Linked DNA regions of Arabidopsis thaliana. The protein of the gene in region 1 interacts with the protein of each later gene in a pairwise test. Each region holds a gene or a part of one and is shown on either strand. Other genes may lie near its edges.

Evidence for each region. The genes of interacting proteins can lie anywhere in the genome.
Region 2: the proteins of PYL6 (region 1) and AT5G51910 interact in binary tests that used the Arabidopsis thaliana proteins (3 or more experiments, as listed by UniProt).
Region 3: the proteins of PYL6 (region 1) and AT4G29120 interact in binary tests that used the Arabidopsis thaliana proteins (3 or more experiments, as listed by UniProt).

The regions. Positions count from the first base shown.
Region 1 is NC_003071.7:16,843,161-16,849,304, reverse strand, and holds PYL6 (PYR1-like 6), read left to right. Parts: upstream 1-3,110; 5' UTR 3,111-3,480; coding exon 3,481-4,128; 3' UTR 4,129-4,717; downstream 4,718-6,144. Other genes in the region: DREB2C (Integrase-type DNA-binding superfamily protein), read left to right, coding at 1-640. UniProt on the Arabidopsis thaliana protein: Receptor for abscisic acid (ABA) required for ABA-mediated responses such as stomatal closure and germination inhibition.
Region 2 is NC_003076.8:21,092,987-21,097,852, reverse strand, and holds AT5G51910 (TCP family transcription factor), read left to right. Parts: upstream 1-1,961; 5' UTR 1,962-2,044; intron 2,045-2,150; exon of another isoform or gene 2,151-2,245; 5' UTR 2,246-2,267; coding exon 2,268-3,149; 3' UTR 3,150-3,287; downstream 3,288-4,866. Other genes in the region: AT5G51920 (Pyridoxal phosphate (PLP)-dependent transferases superfamily protein), read left to right, coding at 1-651; AT5G51900 (Cytochrome P450 family protein), read left to right, coding at 3,399-3,860, 3,906-4,172.
Region 3 is NC_003075.7:14,349,095-14,353,638, reverse strand, and holds AT4G29120 (6-phosphogluconate dehydrogenase family protein), read right to left. Parts: upstream 2,782-4,544; 5' UTR 2,779-2,781; coding exon 1,774-2,778; 3' UTR 1,580-1,773; downstream 1-1,579. Other genes in the region: HXK1 (hexokinase 1), read left to right, coding at 1-92, 178-252, 332-586, 681-811, 878-1,301; AT4G29110 (cotton fiber protein), read right to left, coding at 4,171-4,544.

The DNA.
Region 1 (6,144 bases):
GATCACAAATCGCTCTTCTTCGACTGCTGCCACTGCCACTGTGTCAGGCTCGGTTACTGCATTTTCTGATGAATCTGAAGTTTGTGCACGTGAGGATACAAATGCAAGTTCAGGTTTTGGTCAGGTGAAACTAGAGGATTGTAGCGATGAATATGTTCTCTTAGATAGTTCTCAGTGTATTAAAGAGGAGCTGAAAGGAAAAGAGGAAGTGAGGGAAGAACATAACTTGGCTGTTGGTTTTGGAATTGGACAGGACTCGAAAAGGGAGACTTTGGATGCTTGGTTGATGGGAAATGGCAATGAACAAGAACCATTGGAGTTTGGTGTGGATGAAACGTTTGATATTAATGAGCTATTGGGTATATTAAACGACAACAATGTGTCTGGTCAAGAGACAATGCAGTATCAAGTGGATAGACACCCAAATTTCAGTTACCAAACGCAGTTTCCAAATTCTAACTTGCTCGGGAGCCTCAACCCTATGGAGATTGCTCAACCAGGAGTTGATTATGGATGTCCTTATGTGCAGCCCAGTGATATGGAGAACTATGGTATTGATTTAGACCATCGCAGGTTCAATGATCTTGACATACAGGACTTGGATTTTGGAGGAGACAAAGATGTTCATGGATCTACATAAGATTTCAAATTTCGTTTGACTGGCCTAAGTTTGTGATTCTGCTCCGAGACGGTGTAGCTGTTACTAGCTAGAAGCTGCCCTTCTTTGAAGCTACTGATACTTTCTGATATTAATGGTTGTGAGACGTAGTACATGTAGTTAGGTAATGTAGGACAAGTTCAAATATGATTCCTTCTTTCTTTTTCTTGTGAATACATATGACATATGAAGAAGTTCAAACGTTGGGTTTAGAAAAAGTTTATAACATTCGGTACATATCAAAGTTTTGAACTTCGGATGCATATAAGCTATAAAGTTTTGATCTTTGAACTTTGGATACTCTCACATCTAATTTTCATCCTTAAGAATGGAGATGGAATAATGCGATGTTGCGTAGTGGTTTTATTGACTTGGCAAGTTTTGATTATTCAAGAAACTTGGCTTAGTTTAATGGAAATATCCAGTAGTGGAGTTTTTTGGTCTGCAGACTTTCCTCAGGTTGTCTGAGATTACATAAGCAATGAGGTATGAATAATAAAGTTATCATTAGAGAGTTATCTATCTGTATTTTCTACAAAAGGCAAATTGGGTATTTGAAAGTGCAAATGGGACATAGTTGTATATTATTTAAAAGGCTTTAACTATTCCATTCTGGTCTCCAAAATCGTTTTTCTTGCTCGAATCTTGAAGATCTTCTAAGCCTTTAGAAAAATGAAGAAATCAAGTTGGCAAACTGTTAATTAATTAAATCCAATGAATTGGTGGGTATTGCACCTCCACAAGTTCCCTTTGACAATGTGTCCTCTTCTCCGCAAGAATGAGATGCAACTATTTTGGACAATTTCTCCTTTTAATTACTTTTTGATCGATAATCTTCTCTTAATATCACGTTGTAATCTGATTCATTCAAATATCTATCGAAATTTAAGCTTATCTTTGATTTTTTCGATACTTATTTTTGAAATTTTAAGTGCATTTTGTTTATAATCATAGTTGGGGATTTAATAATTTTAGGTGGAATAATATTTTATGCATATTGGAGATTTATTTCTCGAGAAATATTCACAAACAAACAAACAACCGGCTTTTGCACAAAAATAATAATGACATGGAGTCGAGTTGTTTATACTAATGTTTGTCACTATCTCACCATTGGAATTTAAATCTTGGATATATAATACATGTTTTGACAAAAAAAAAAGTTGGCACAAATTATGTTGTTGTAACAAAATACGTCTGATGCATTGATTTGAGATTGACTCTTTGAACCCAAAAATGTATCACCGTAATATTAATACATTTTCCACATCAACTTGTAATCTATTTGTGTTCAGTAATATATTGGTGAGTGATTATGTCACCTAACCCGAAAGCTTATAAGATGAGCAATCTTTATATCGAGGATGGTGCAAAAAATAGCAAATTGTAACTTTTTGTCCTTCTTATTCTATAAAATGTCAGATATAATTAGTACTGCAAATTGCTCGCTTATTCGTATTAATCTTAACAACTAGGGCTACTTGGGAATATGTATAGTTGTTGGAAAAACTAATGCATTAGATAACCCTTTATTATTTTTCCCAATTGTGTTTTGTTATTATGCCCACCACTCAAATCCAAGAGTCCAATATATTCATATGATTTGAATATACGTTTGTGGAAGAAAACACACCCAAGAAATATTGTCCAATTCGTAAATTTCCCTGACTTTACGTTGGTTACTTTTAGCAAACTGCTTAGTTTGATTTTCTTCTAATTCGTCTTATTAATATTCTGTTCTTTTCTTTGTTGAAAAGGAATTTGATTAATACTTTTTTTAGTATCGTCGAAAGGCTCAAGTTGATTACAAGATGAGGAAAGATTATTATGATGGACCCATGACATGATATCTTCACCAACTTGGAACATTGAAAGTCCTATGGAGTTATTTTTGAAATTTTTACCTTAGTCAGAAGGTTCCAACAAAATTAAAAATCCACCAAAAACGCATCCAAGAATAGTACCAACTGAAAATAGATCGGCAATCACAAAGACAAAGGTCGGTCCTCCCAACCAATTTGTTTCAAGAATTTTTTCAAACCTATGCATAAATTAAGTATAGCTCTTAACCAATATATATAGCTTAACCAACTCGACACATAGTGATCATGTTCTTATAATCTTTAATAACGTTTTAGAGTTAGCTATATATATAGCCTCGAGACAGTAGAAGATTGAAATATCTATGCAAAACCTCAAAGATAATGTTCAATGTTTTTATATTCTGAATATTGATATAATCGGTGAGATAGAGATGAGTTCAGAATTTTTTTCTCGGTATCTTAAATGATATTGATTTCATTTTCTCAACTTTCATTCAAGAGTGTTTTTGGTTAAAACATAAAAACGTCCATTCTAATTATAGTAATGCTTGTGTGGTTACGACAACATGCTCATTCATTGTAATAAACTGGTGAAATATATAGCACCATTGACAAATAGACAGCCTCAGTAACAAAGCAAGGAAAAACAAAATTAAAATTTAATAACCGGTTATATTAAATATCGAGAACCAGTCCGTAGAATTTCATGGGAAACCGGGCCGGTCCTTGATATAAAGAAAGAGAGAGACGTTTCTTAACTGAAGCAGTACACAAACTCCAAACAAATCCCAAGTGGACAACCGAAGAACCCACACAAACTAACTCTCTTTCCTAATCCACATACTTGCATTTTTATATATAAACACTCTGTCCTTATATAGTTCTGTATATTACATGTAAATATCTCTCATTAATACAACCTCACGAAGAAAACCATTTGTTTTCTTAGAGAGAGCCAAGAATATTAAAAGAGATATAGAGAAAAGATTTGCTTTAATAATGCCAACGTCGATACAGTTTCAGAGATCCTCCACCGCCGCAGAAGCAGCCAACGCCACCGTAAGAAACTATCCCCACCACCATCAGAAACAGGTTCAAAAAGTGAGCCTCACGCGCGGGATGGCTGATGTGCCGGAGCACGTGGAGCTTTCCCACACGCACGTGGTTGGTCCTTCTCAGTGCTTCTCCGTCGTGGTACAAGACGTGGAGGCTCCGGTTTCCACAGTCTGGTCGATCCTAAGCCGCTTCGAACACCCTCAAGCGTACAAACACTTCGTGAAAAGCTGCCACGTGGTTATCGGAGACGGTCGAGAGGTTGGGTCGGTGAGAGAGGTCAGAGTCGTCTCTGGTCTCCCCGCGGCGTTTAGCTTAGAGCGGCTTGAGATCATGGACGATGATCGCCACGTCATCAGTTTCAGCGTCGTTGGTGGGGACCACAGACTCATGAACTACAAGTCGGTGACGACGGTGCATGAGTCGGAGGAGGACTCCGACGGCAAGAAGAGGACACGTGTCGTTGAGTCATACGTCGTTGACGTACCGGCGGGTAACGATAAGGAAGAGACTTGTAGCTTTGCTGATACTATAGTACGGTGCAACTTGCAATCGCTGGCTAAACTCGCCGAGAACACTTCTAAATTCTCGTAATTACATTTTTTCAATCTTTTTATTTTTATTTTATTTTCTATATTTCTCTCTTTCAAAATTTATCTTTTATTTTTGGGATTCTCGAGGTGGTTTTGGATTTTAAGATTTAAGTATTTAACTATCGTCGGGGATTTTTCGAAACTAAAACAAAAAACAAGAATTATATCAAACAAGATGGTTTTGGTTTTTCGAAGTTAGGGTTTTTAGGGTCTGTTAAATGTATGTCTCAACGATACTTTGGTTTTACCCTTAAAACCATTTCTTCTTGTACAGCTCTCGTAGCTTTATTATATAAACATTGATTGTTTAGTTATTTTCATAATCTTCTTCTTGCGCCGTATTTTACATATTTATTATTTGTCTTTTAATTTAGTTAATCATGAAACAATATAGACTATATAGTGATTCAGCTATAATGCATGGGGTATATTGTTACGATATTTCCGATATTATTATGTCTAATTTCATTAATTTTGATAACCTACATAATAATGTATTACACAAACAATTTGATTAATATAATCATTGGCATATCTACTATATATGAAGAGATCTGAACAATTGTGGGCAATCAGAAAACCCATACATGTGCTGATTGAGATGATTCGTTTTCCTTTATGTTAAGAGAAGAACAAAGTAAAACTATACATCATTTGAATTTTATTGAAATGTATAAACAGTAGAATACTACTTGGTGTTTTAAATGAATTTGCTCACCAGCTATATAATCAAAGCGTTCAATCCTAAAAGCAAAGATGGAATAATATCAATTAGTGATAATTAAACTTGAACCAAGGCGTAATGCATGTATTGAGTTATGTGATATAATCTTAAGAATTTTCTTTATGGCATATATAATGCTAGGCCAAAATAAATGGTGTCAGGTAATACAGCATTATATCTTTAATTCCCTAATTTGGAAACGTAAAATTTTCAAATTATTTGTCATTTCATCAACAAACTTTACATAAATACGTAAATGTTTTGTTTTTACTCACCAAAAAAATAAATCAAAATTATTTACATACCAAAATGATAAAATTTCTTAGTTCCTTTTATAGTTTTGGGATGCGTGAACCGTTTCAATAATTCAAATGTCAAAATTATTACTTTTTCGGATTTCCTTGTCCTATATATTAGTTCATGAATAAAAATGTACATTTGAAAAATCAAATAACTTTATCTAGTTATATAAATATAAAGAATCCAATGAACAAGATGAAAAGACATTCAAAGTTTGCAAAAGCAAAATGTGTTTAGTTACTTTATAATTAAGTAGTAAGATTTCGAGACTTGTGAACCAAATTCAAAATTGAATACATATATAGACATTCATGTATATGATCGTACGTAAAATGCAAGTTGGGGTGTAATAAAATCCAACTTGTTATAGAAAAAAAACAAAGCATGCAAGTTGCAAAGGAAAAAAAAAAAAGTCGCTACTATTCTTTGACACCTTTAAAAAATATTCCATAAATAAAAAAAAGGTTAAAGAAAAATCAAATTGATTACATAAATGATTATTAATTTATTATCATAATGAGTACGAAATATATATGTAAACATTGTCGTGGAAGGAAGGAATTGCAAGTTGATATGCAAGTTGGCAAGGAGGCTATTAATGTTTTCCCTCTTTTGGTCGTTTGTATAATGACATTTAAACCCACCCACCTTTCTTATTTTCTTTTCTGTCTTCCTATTTCTGATCACTATTATTATATTACTTATATTTTATTTCACATTTTTTTTAATTTTATAAACCCATAAGAAATTTTTTTCCCTTTTATTTACATATGAAAACATATGTATTCCCGTGTCAAAAAAATGAAAATTCTGACCAATCCAGAGAGATACGATTTATGGGGTTTGTATATTCCAATGTGGCATGTTGCATATAAACTACTACTATTTAACTAGTTTCTTAATAATTCAAATCCAAATAAACATGCATAAAAGATTGTGATAACGTACATAGCTGTGATATAATATGCATTACTTTTAAAAAGCAACGGAGAT
Region 2 (4,866 bases), on another chromosome or scaffold:
CTTGAATCTTCCACTGGTCCAGGTATGATTAACCTCGTACCTACCGACAATCCGATTTCATTACACGCGTTGGAAATCAACCGAACACAAACAGATTCGGAAGAAACATATAGCTTTAGCTCTAGTGTCGAATACAAAGGCCTAGATCATGTAGATTCACTAGGGTTGGTAGCAACAGGGAACAGATCAAGATGCTTGATAAATTGGTTGGTAAGTGCTCTCTACAAACTCAAACATTCAACAACTAGTCGTCTAGTTAAAATCTACGGTCCGAAAGTTAATTTCAATCGAGGACCAGCGGTTGCGTTCAATCTATTCAACCATAAAGGCGAAAAAATCGAACCTTTTATCGTGCAGAAGTTAGCCGAATGCAGCAACATCTCACTCGGTAAAAGTTTCTTGAAGAACATCTTGTTCCAAGAAGACTACGAAGGCGTGAAAGATAGAGTTTTTGAGAAGAAAAGAAACAGAGACGTCGACGAACCAAGGATCTCTGTTCTCACTGCTGCGTTAGGGTTTCTTGCTAATTTCGAAGATGTTTATAAACTTTGGATATTCGTTGCTCGGTTTTTGGATTCAGAGTTTGTTGATAAAGAGAGTGTGAGATGTGGAGTTCATGTTTTTGAACATAAGAACCGTGAAGTAGTCTAGTTAACATATAGCCTAGTTTTGGCTCGGTTTGCTTTGGTTCACTTCTTACATCAGAACCGGTTCAAGTATCAATGAAAATTTTGATTTTTGTTCAGTACAAAGTCAGCGTCAACATTAGCGTCCAAGTAGCACCTCTATCTCCCACTAATTTTGATTTTGCTACTGATTCAAAAAAAAATAATTAACTTTCGAAAAAAGGTAGCTCATATATATTTATTTACAATTCGCTCATTCCTAGATGTCAAGTAGATATGAACGGGGCAAATGAATGCCCAATAACTAAAATAAACCCATATCAGCTATATATTTCTTCGGTTGTTAAAAATTTTGATTTTATAAAATTTATTGCACAAATGATTTTCTAGATGTTATTTTTATTTTTATTTTTAGTATGATAAATACTAAATTTCAAAATGCAATGATTGAAAATAATTAAACTTTTAATTTTATTAGCTCATAATTAAACTTAAAAATATTTAATATAAAAAATGTTAATGATTAGATAATGTTTTTTTTTTAATATGTGAAAAAATCCCAAACATCAATCTATTATAAAAATATGGAATAATACTTTTATTTAATCTATTTTTTTAGTAGTCAACATCAAAAGATTATTACAAATGACCAATGTTGATAATTTTAACTTATAAATATAGTATTAAATAATGAATAGTGAATTGTTTTCTTTTTGGCGGGTGAAACCTTATTTCCAAGCTTCATACTCTAGTCTTCGAGAGTCATGCTTAGTAATTGACATTTTTTGTTGCCATCATTTCTTATAAAGCTTACCCTAAGCTTGCAAGAATATTTACCGAGTAGTTTGGAATCTTGGTGTTGTAAATCATGCACTATTTGTTTTACTACGCAGTTCCAATCTTCTCGTGGGGACCAAAGTTTTTCAACCTTGTATACAACAAAATCAACAAGGGATTAGGTACACCAAATTGGTTTTTACGAAAACAGTAACATGCTATCAAAATAGAGACTAGTCGTTTTGGTGATAGAATTCAGACCAAGACAATAATGGTTTTACTTGTCAATAATACTCAGAAATGAACATAAGCTGCACTTGTCAATAGTACTCAGTTTTGAGATAGCTAAGTTTTGTATTGCCCTAGTTATGGCTCGGTTTTGTCCAATTCGGTTGGTTTGGTTCACTTCTTAAATGGAAACCGGTTCAACTGTACAACTATCAATAAAAAAAAAAAAATTAGCTCCACAACATGACTCTTGTGATGTGGTCGAGGCCAAGGCCCATTAGTTAGCTAAAACAGGCCCATATGAAGTATGTGATCTAGACCGTTGATTTGTAATGGGACTATATAAAAATAAAAACGATGATCTTGAGGGCCCCTTCTTCCATCTTTGTAGGGTTCTTCGTGCAGAGGATAAGGTTAGCTGTGGTTTTTTAATTTTATTTTTCTACCTTTGTAGGGTTTCCTCACTTTTTTTTATCCACTGTTCTTTAGTTTTCAATCTGTCAAATTCAAACAGATAACATTTTTCGTCAAAAGAATCAGTAAAAACTAAACATTTTGACTATATCCTACTTGAATCAATTCTTCGGCTGATTTTGAAGTTTTGTGACATTCAGATATTCTAGGGTTTTGTGGTAAATGGAATCGAATCACGAAGGCAACGCGATACAAGTGATTGACCAAGTAACAACCATGACCCATCTGTCTGACCCGAATCCGAAAACCAAACCGGGTATGATGCTCATGAAACAAGAAGACGGGTATTTGCAGCCGGTGAAGACTAAACCGGCTCCGAAGAGACCGACTTCTAAAGACCGTCACACGAAAGTAGAAGGACGAGGTCGGAGGATCCGAATGCCGGCGGGTTGCGCTGCTCGGGTCTTTCAATTGACCCGTGAACTTGGTCACAAATCCGACGGAGAAACGATACGGTGGTTATTGGAACGAGCTGAACCGGCGATAATTGAAGCAACCGGAACCGGAACTGTACCGGCTATTGCTGTATCGGTTAACGGAACTTTAAAAATCCCGACGAGCTCTCCAGTGTTGAATGACGGCGGCCGTGACGGTGACGGTGACCTAATAAAGAAACGGAGGAAGAGAAACTGTACGAGCGATTTCGTAGACGTTAATGACAGCTGTCATAGCTCCGTTACTTCTGGGTTAGCTCCGATAACGGCGTCAAACTACGGCGTTAATATCCTGAACGTTAATACACAGGGGTTTGTGCCGTTTTGGCCTATGGGTATGGGTACTGCGTTTGTTACTGGTGGGCCGGATCAAATGGGCCAAATGTGGGCTATTCCTACCGTTGCTACAGCTCCGTTTCTGAATGTTGGTGCTAGACCGGTGTCTAGTTATGTCTCAAACGCTTCAGACGCTGAGGCGGAGATGGAAACGAGCGGTGGCGGAACGACGCAACCGCTGAGGGATTTTTCGTTGGAGATTTATGATAAGAGAGAGCTTCAGTTTTTGGGTGGCTCAGGGAACTCATCTCCGTCTTCATGTCATGAGACTTAAGGAATTTTAACTCTTAGTTCTAGTTTCTTTTTAGTTTTTAGTAAGTTTGATTCCTGATTTAGGTTAAGTAAGATTTGTAAAAGAATTGGGAGCACAATTTCAATTTTATGTTTCTGTCAAACATTTTGGTAATTAATGGAACTATCCTATCATTTTTAAAAAATAAATCAAAATGAGATTAAAAATGAGTCTGCTAAAACGCCAGAGGTTGAGTCTGCTAAAGCTCTCGACACAATAGTAGAAGGAATAATGTATAGGCACGTTAAACCTAGATTCTCGTGGAAGCTACAAAGCTGGATCGGAGTTGGGATGGAGAAGAAGATGATAGAAGCTGGTGCCATTTTTGATCGAGTGTGTGGGAAATACATATCAGCCAGGAGAGAAGAGGTAAAAAGATCACAAGTGAATAATAATGATCATTTCATTAGAGATAGTCATGCAAATCTTTTGACATCTCACATAAAGCTTGATACAACCCAGTACCAGCTCTTGGATCCTATCAATGATAAATTCTTAAGAGACAATGTCTTTGCTTTACTTCTAGCTGGGAGAGATACCACTGCCTCTGCTCTCACTTGGTTCTTTTGGTTTTTGTCCGAAAACCCTCTAGTGGTGACCAAGATTCGCCAAGAGATTGACATGAATCTACCAAGAAGTTGTAGTGGCCAAGAGAGACCATCTTGTGATCCAATGGAGTACTTAAACAAAGATGTACTTAAACAAGATTTTGGTCTTTATTTATGGGGTGGTGGGTAGGATGAGAGCTGTATGGGGAGAAGATGCATTAGAATTCAAGCCAGAGAGATGGATTTCCGAGACCGGAGAGTTAGCATTCAATGCCGGTCGAGAATATGCCATGGTAAACAAAGAGCTATGGTTCAAATGAAGATTGTGGCGGTGGAGATATTACAAAACTATGACATCAAGGTTGCCAACGGGCAGAAGTTTGAGCCAGATACTAGTTTAATTCTTAAAATGAAGCATGGCTTTAAGGTTAAGATTAACAAGAGATGTTCATCTTGATATTAGTGAAATAATCAAGTTCTTTTTTAAGTTCTATTTCGAAACCATAGCCTAATTAAGAGTATTAATAAGGAGACAAGTTTAAGTGTGATCTACCTTGAGGTTTAGTTTTTATTGTAGACAAATTATAGTAATGGTTTTTTAATGATTTCAATGACAGTTTAGAAGAATGTAACTCTCGATCCAAGAATGATAATTCATGAGTTAGTAAACTGATGAAATCAAAAAAGAAATGTTGTTTCAATTATTATACTGTACCATTTTTATTTCTACGAATTACGAAACCATTTCTTCTCTACCGAAACTAAAGTAAACTAAACCGTAACAAAAAATTTTGTTTCTTTGTTTTCAACCGTATCCAAATTATGTATCCAGTTTTTTTTGTTTTTTTTTTTTTTTTTTTTCTCATTGTTGACAAAATAAGTAATTTTCTAATTTAAAATTTTCTTCAAAAAAATTTATTATAATATCCGTAACTACAATGCAAATAGTGCCGTACACGTGAGAAGCAAAACAAAAAAGATGCAGAAAAAAAAATAGTACCACAAAATCCTTCACCAACCGTACTGCGAAGCCAAGGCAATTGAAACCAAACACTGATAGGCATAACTCAACAGTAGTTACCCTTTTTTGACCATCTTCTCGTTTAATTCTCTTCTTTATTCATTTTCAATCTTACTCTATCCACACACAC
Region 3 (4,544 bases), on another chromosome or scaffold:
TAGGTTTCACTTTCTCGTTTCCTGTTAAGCAGACTTCTCTGTCCTCTGGTAGTCTCATCAAATGGACAAAAGGCTTTTCCATCGAAGAAGCAGTTAAGCTCGATTTTCGTTCAACTATTTCACTTAAAATGTTTAGTTTTCGCCTTTGCCTTAATCTTTGTTTAACCTGTTGCATAGGTTGGACAAGATGTTGTTGGAGCACTTAATAAGGCTCTGGAAAGAGTTGGTCTTGACATGCGAATCGCAGCACTTGTGAGTTCTCTTTCGCCTTATGCTCTCTAGTGAATCCCTTTTGTCATGTGTTTGTTGATTTGTTTTTGACGTTTTACAGGTTAATGATACCGTTGGAACACTAGCCGGTGGTAGATACTATAACCCGGATGTTGTTGCTGCTGTTATTTTAGGCACTGGGACAAACGCAGCCTATGTTGAGCGTGCAACCGCGATCCCTAAATGGCATGGTCTGCTTCCAAAATCAGGAGAAATGGTTATAAACATGGAATGGGGAAACTTCAGGTCATCACATCTTCCATTAACCGAGTTTGATCACACGCTGGATTTCGAGAGTCTGAATCCAGGCGAACAGGTACGAGTTTTTAAACCCCGGTTTGTTGTTACAAAATGCCAATACCTACGAGGTGTCTCGAGAATGAGTTTCTATGTGGAATTTCATTTTGCAGATTCTTGAGAAAATCATTTCCGGTATGTACTTGGGAGAGATTTTGCGAAGAGTTCTTCTAAAGATGGCTGAAGATGCTGCTTTCTTTGGCGATACAGTCCCATCTAAGCTGAGAATACCATTCATCATTAGGTACTCTTTACTAAGTTTCATCCTTTGAGGAAGGGCTTTAGTCTAAAGTTCAACAATCATTTGCAGGACTCCTCACATGTCGGCTATGCACAACGACACTTCTCCAGACTTGAAGATTGTTGGGAGCAAGATTAAGGATATATTGGAGGTCCCTACAACTTCTCTGAAAATGAGAAAAGTTGTGATCAGTCTCTGCAACATCATAGCAACCCGAGGAGCTCGTCTCTCTGCTGCTGGAATCTATGGTATTCTGAAGAAACTGGGAAGAGATACTACTAAAGACGAGGAGGTGCAGAAATCGGTTATAGCCATGGATGGTGGATTGTTTGAGCATTACACTCAGTTTAGTGAGTGTATGGAGAGCTCACTAAAAGAGTTGCTTGGAGATGAAGCTTCAGGAAGCGTTGAAGTCACTCACTCCAATGATGGATCAGGCATTGGAGCTGCGCTTCTTGCTGCTTCTCACTCTCTCTACCTTGAAGACTCTTAAAACCTACCCAAAGAGCGCCATTTTTCGGTAATTTACTGAAAGCTTTTCGCTATCAGAAAACGCCTAAGCCAAGTTCTAAGGCGTCATAAAAGAAAGCATTCCATGTTTTTACTCTTCCCCAAGACTTTCTTTGTAGCAAATAAGTTTCCTTGGGAGAAATATTTGTTTTCATGTTCTTCAAAAATAAAAGACTCAGTTCTTCAGATTCTGGGATTTTATTATAACCAGATATGTTGTAAAAACTACAAATTCAAAGCTCACTTCACTGGAGTTCTGAGTATATAAAGATTTCATTTTTCCTCATCATTGAGTACACATAAAACTACTGTGTATGAATCTCATATGCGTACACAAAAGTTTACTTCAAATCATGTTTTACCAACAAATGGGTACACAAAAGATCAAATCTTTACTTCATAACAACATAAAATCTCCAACAGATGCATTATCAGAAAGTGGAACAGAACCTAAATCAAGAGTCAGATGATTGAACAGAGACATTGTTGAGACGTTCAAGAGCCAAGAGAAGAGCTTGAGTACCAAGATCACCTTCACCATGAGCCTTAAGAGACAAGTAAAGCTGTTGAGCAAGAGCTAAACCAGGCAAAGCCAAACCCATCCTCTGACATTCATTCAAACAAATCCCTAAATCTTTCACAAAATGATTCACATAAAAACCAGGATCAAAATCCCTCTTCAGAATCCTATCTCCATACAAATCTATAGACTTAGAACCAGCAGCACCAGTAGAAATCGCTTCAAGAAACTTCTTAACATCAAGTCCAGCTTTATGAGCATAAATCAAACCTTCCACAAGTCCTAACATAGTCGAAGCAATAGTTATCTGATTAGCCAATTTCGCAAATTGACCTTTCCCACTTGTTCCCATGAAGTTGACTTTACCCATTAACGAAAACAACGGATCTAAACGTTTCACGGTGGTTTCATCACCTCCGGCGAATATAGATAGCTTCCCATTCTTAGCTCCTAAATCTCCACCTGAGACAGGAGCGTCTATTGAGAAACAATTCTTAAAGGAAGCAGCTTTAGCTATCTCCTCTGCTAAAGAAGGCTCAGAAGTAGTCATATCAACGAGAACACCTCCTTGACGGAGACCAGATAAAGCTCCGGACTTTGGATCGAGAAGGACGTGACGGACATCGGAAGGATAACCAACGATGGTGAAAACGACGTCGGATTGTTCAGCGACTGAGTTTGGTGAGTCGGCGACGTTAGCACCCATGTCGATGAGAGTTTGAGCTTTGGAGATGGTTCGATTGAAGACGGTGACTGTGTAACCGGCTTTGATTAAGTGTCCACACATTGATCGGCCCATGACTCCGGTTCCGATCCATCCGATTTTGGTGTTTGATGGAGTGATTATATCCGAGGAGATTGTTGAGGAAGCCATTGAGCGACGGAGGAAGAAGGAGGAGACGACGGAGGGAGAGGGAAATCGACGGAGGAGAAGTGGCATTGTTTCCTGTGGTGATTGATGGATTCTAGTAGTTATCGAAAGTTGAGTGGTATACCATCGTAATTTTGAGTTTCTTCGGAGGTGTTTTTCGTCAAAGTACTTTAACGACGTCGGGTTTGTAATCCTGGTTTAGAAAATTGATTTGGTTCGGTTAAACTTGGTTTATTAGGCTCAAGCGTGCTAGTGGTGAAGAAGATAGATAATCAATGGGCATTTAACAAGGCAAGCATGAGAAAATAAATGATAGATGTTTTATAACCTTTCATGTTTTGAGAAAATTTAGAAGAAAAAGAAAGACATGGTTTGGGTTTGGGATTTGATCCAGAATTTGGTTTGGGATTTGATCCAGTATTTGGTTTGGGTTTGGGATTTGATCCAGTATTTGGTTTGGGAATGGATTATATCACGTATATGGATCATCGTAGTTGTTCTCTCTGTCTCCATTGTCTTGAGATATTTGTGGGTTCTCGAGAATTGTCCTAAAACACAACCTCAACATTGTAAGAATATTTCTCTATCATCTTTTTCATGATCTATGCTTTAAGATACTTTTCTCTATTTTATAATGCTTGTTGTTGTTGTTGCATGTTGTATACTTATATGTATACCATCCAAAGCAGTGGAACAACCCCAAGAATCAACTTGCACTGAAGTGGTCGTTGGTGATTCAGTGGAGAAGCTCACACGAAGAATTATAGAAATAGAAGAGCAGCCTGGAAATGAGCGATTGGCGGTAAAGACTGTGGTTGAGAAGGTAAAGCCGAGTGTTGTGAAGGTGAAGCCCAGAAACTTTTGGTGTTTGTGTTAACTACGAGAGCATGACTTGACTAGTATGTCAAATAAACATTGGACTAACAAAATACTCGAATGATCACCAAAATAATTTTAGACTACTACAGTATATATAAAAAATGACTACGTCTTTGGATGTACGAGTAAAGACGTTGTGCGTGTTTAAATACTTGAGGAAGACGTATTGTTGAATAATGTCGTAATAATTATCTGTGCCTGCAATTCTCCATATATATGATCGGAATTAAATTGCACGAAACGTTATGGTTGGTCGATGAACAACTTGAGAGAATGAGAGCGATATTTTATCTTATTCATTTCTCTACTTTTTGATTTGATAAATTCATCATCAATAAATTCACCTAGTGTATATAGTATTCTTCTCATTAAGATAGGAAAATATATACATAGCCATGTTTACATCAAAACTACCGACGAAATAAACACAAGCCAAATTTAAGTATTCAACACTCAAATGGAACATATATCTAAGAAAAGTTGTAACCCCATTATTTATACATGTATTCTCAATTGTCCCCTTATTTGTTCTGTTGATCCAACGCTAGTGATTAAATTTGCGATGGTCTCTAAACGCTTGGATCATCTAACCCATCCATCGTGGTACGGCGACTCTAATGCGTTAGTCATCTTCTTTTGCAGCTTAAGGTTCTTATAAAACTTCTTTATAAACTCCTCTGCGGCTTTGTCCACCACATGATCGTGATCTCCACCGTCGTCTAACGGGAACGGCGAATCCGTCACCCTGAGCTGTCTCACTGCCGGGGACATTATCAGCGGCGACTCTCTGGCCGATTCTGTCGCCACCGTCTTCTTATCATTCTCTCCTAACAACTCAAAAACTTTCTTGACCGCTGCCTCCACCGCATCTTCTTCGTTGTCATAACCGCCGTGGACGCGGCGTTTGCGTTTGGAGATAAAGGCAAAAGGGTCGTAGTCACGGACGCGTGAGGAGG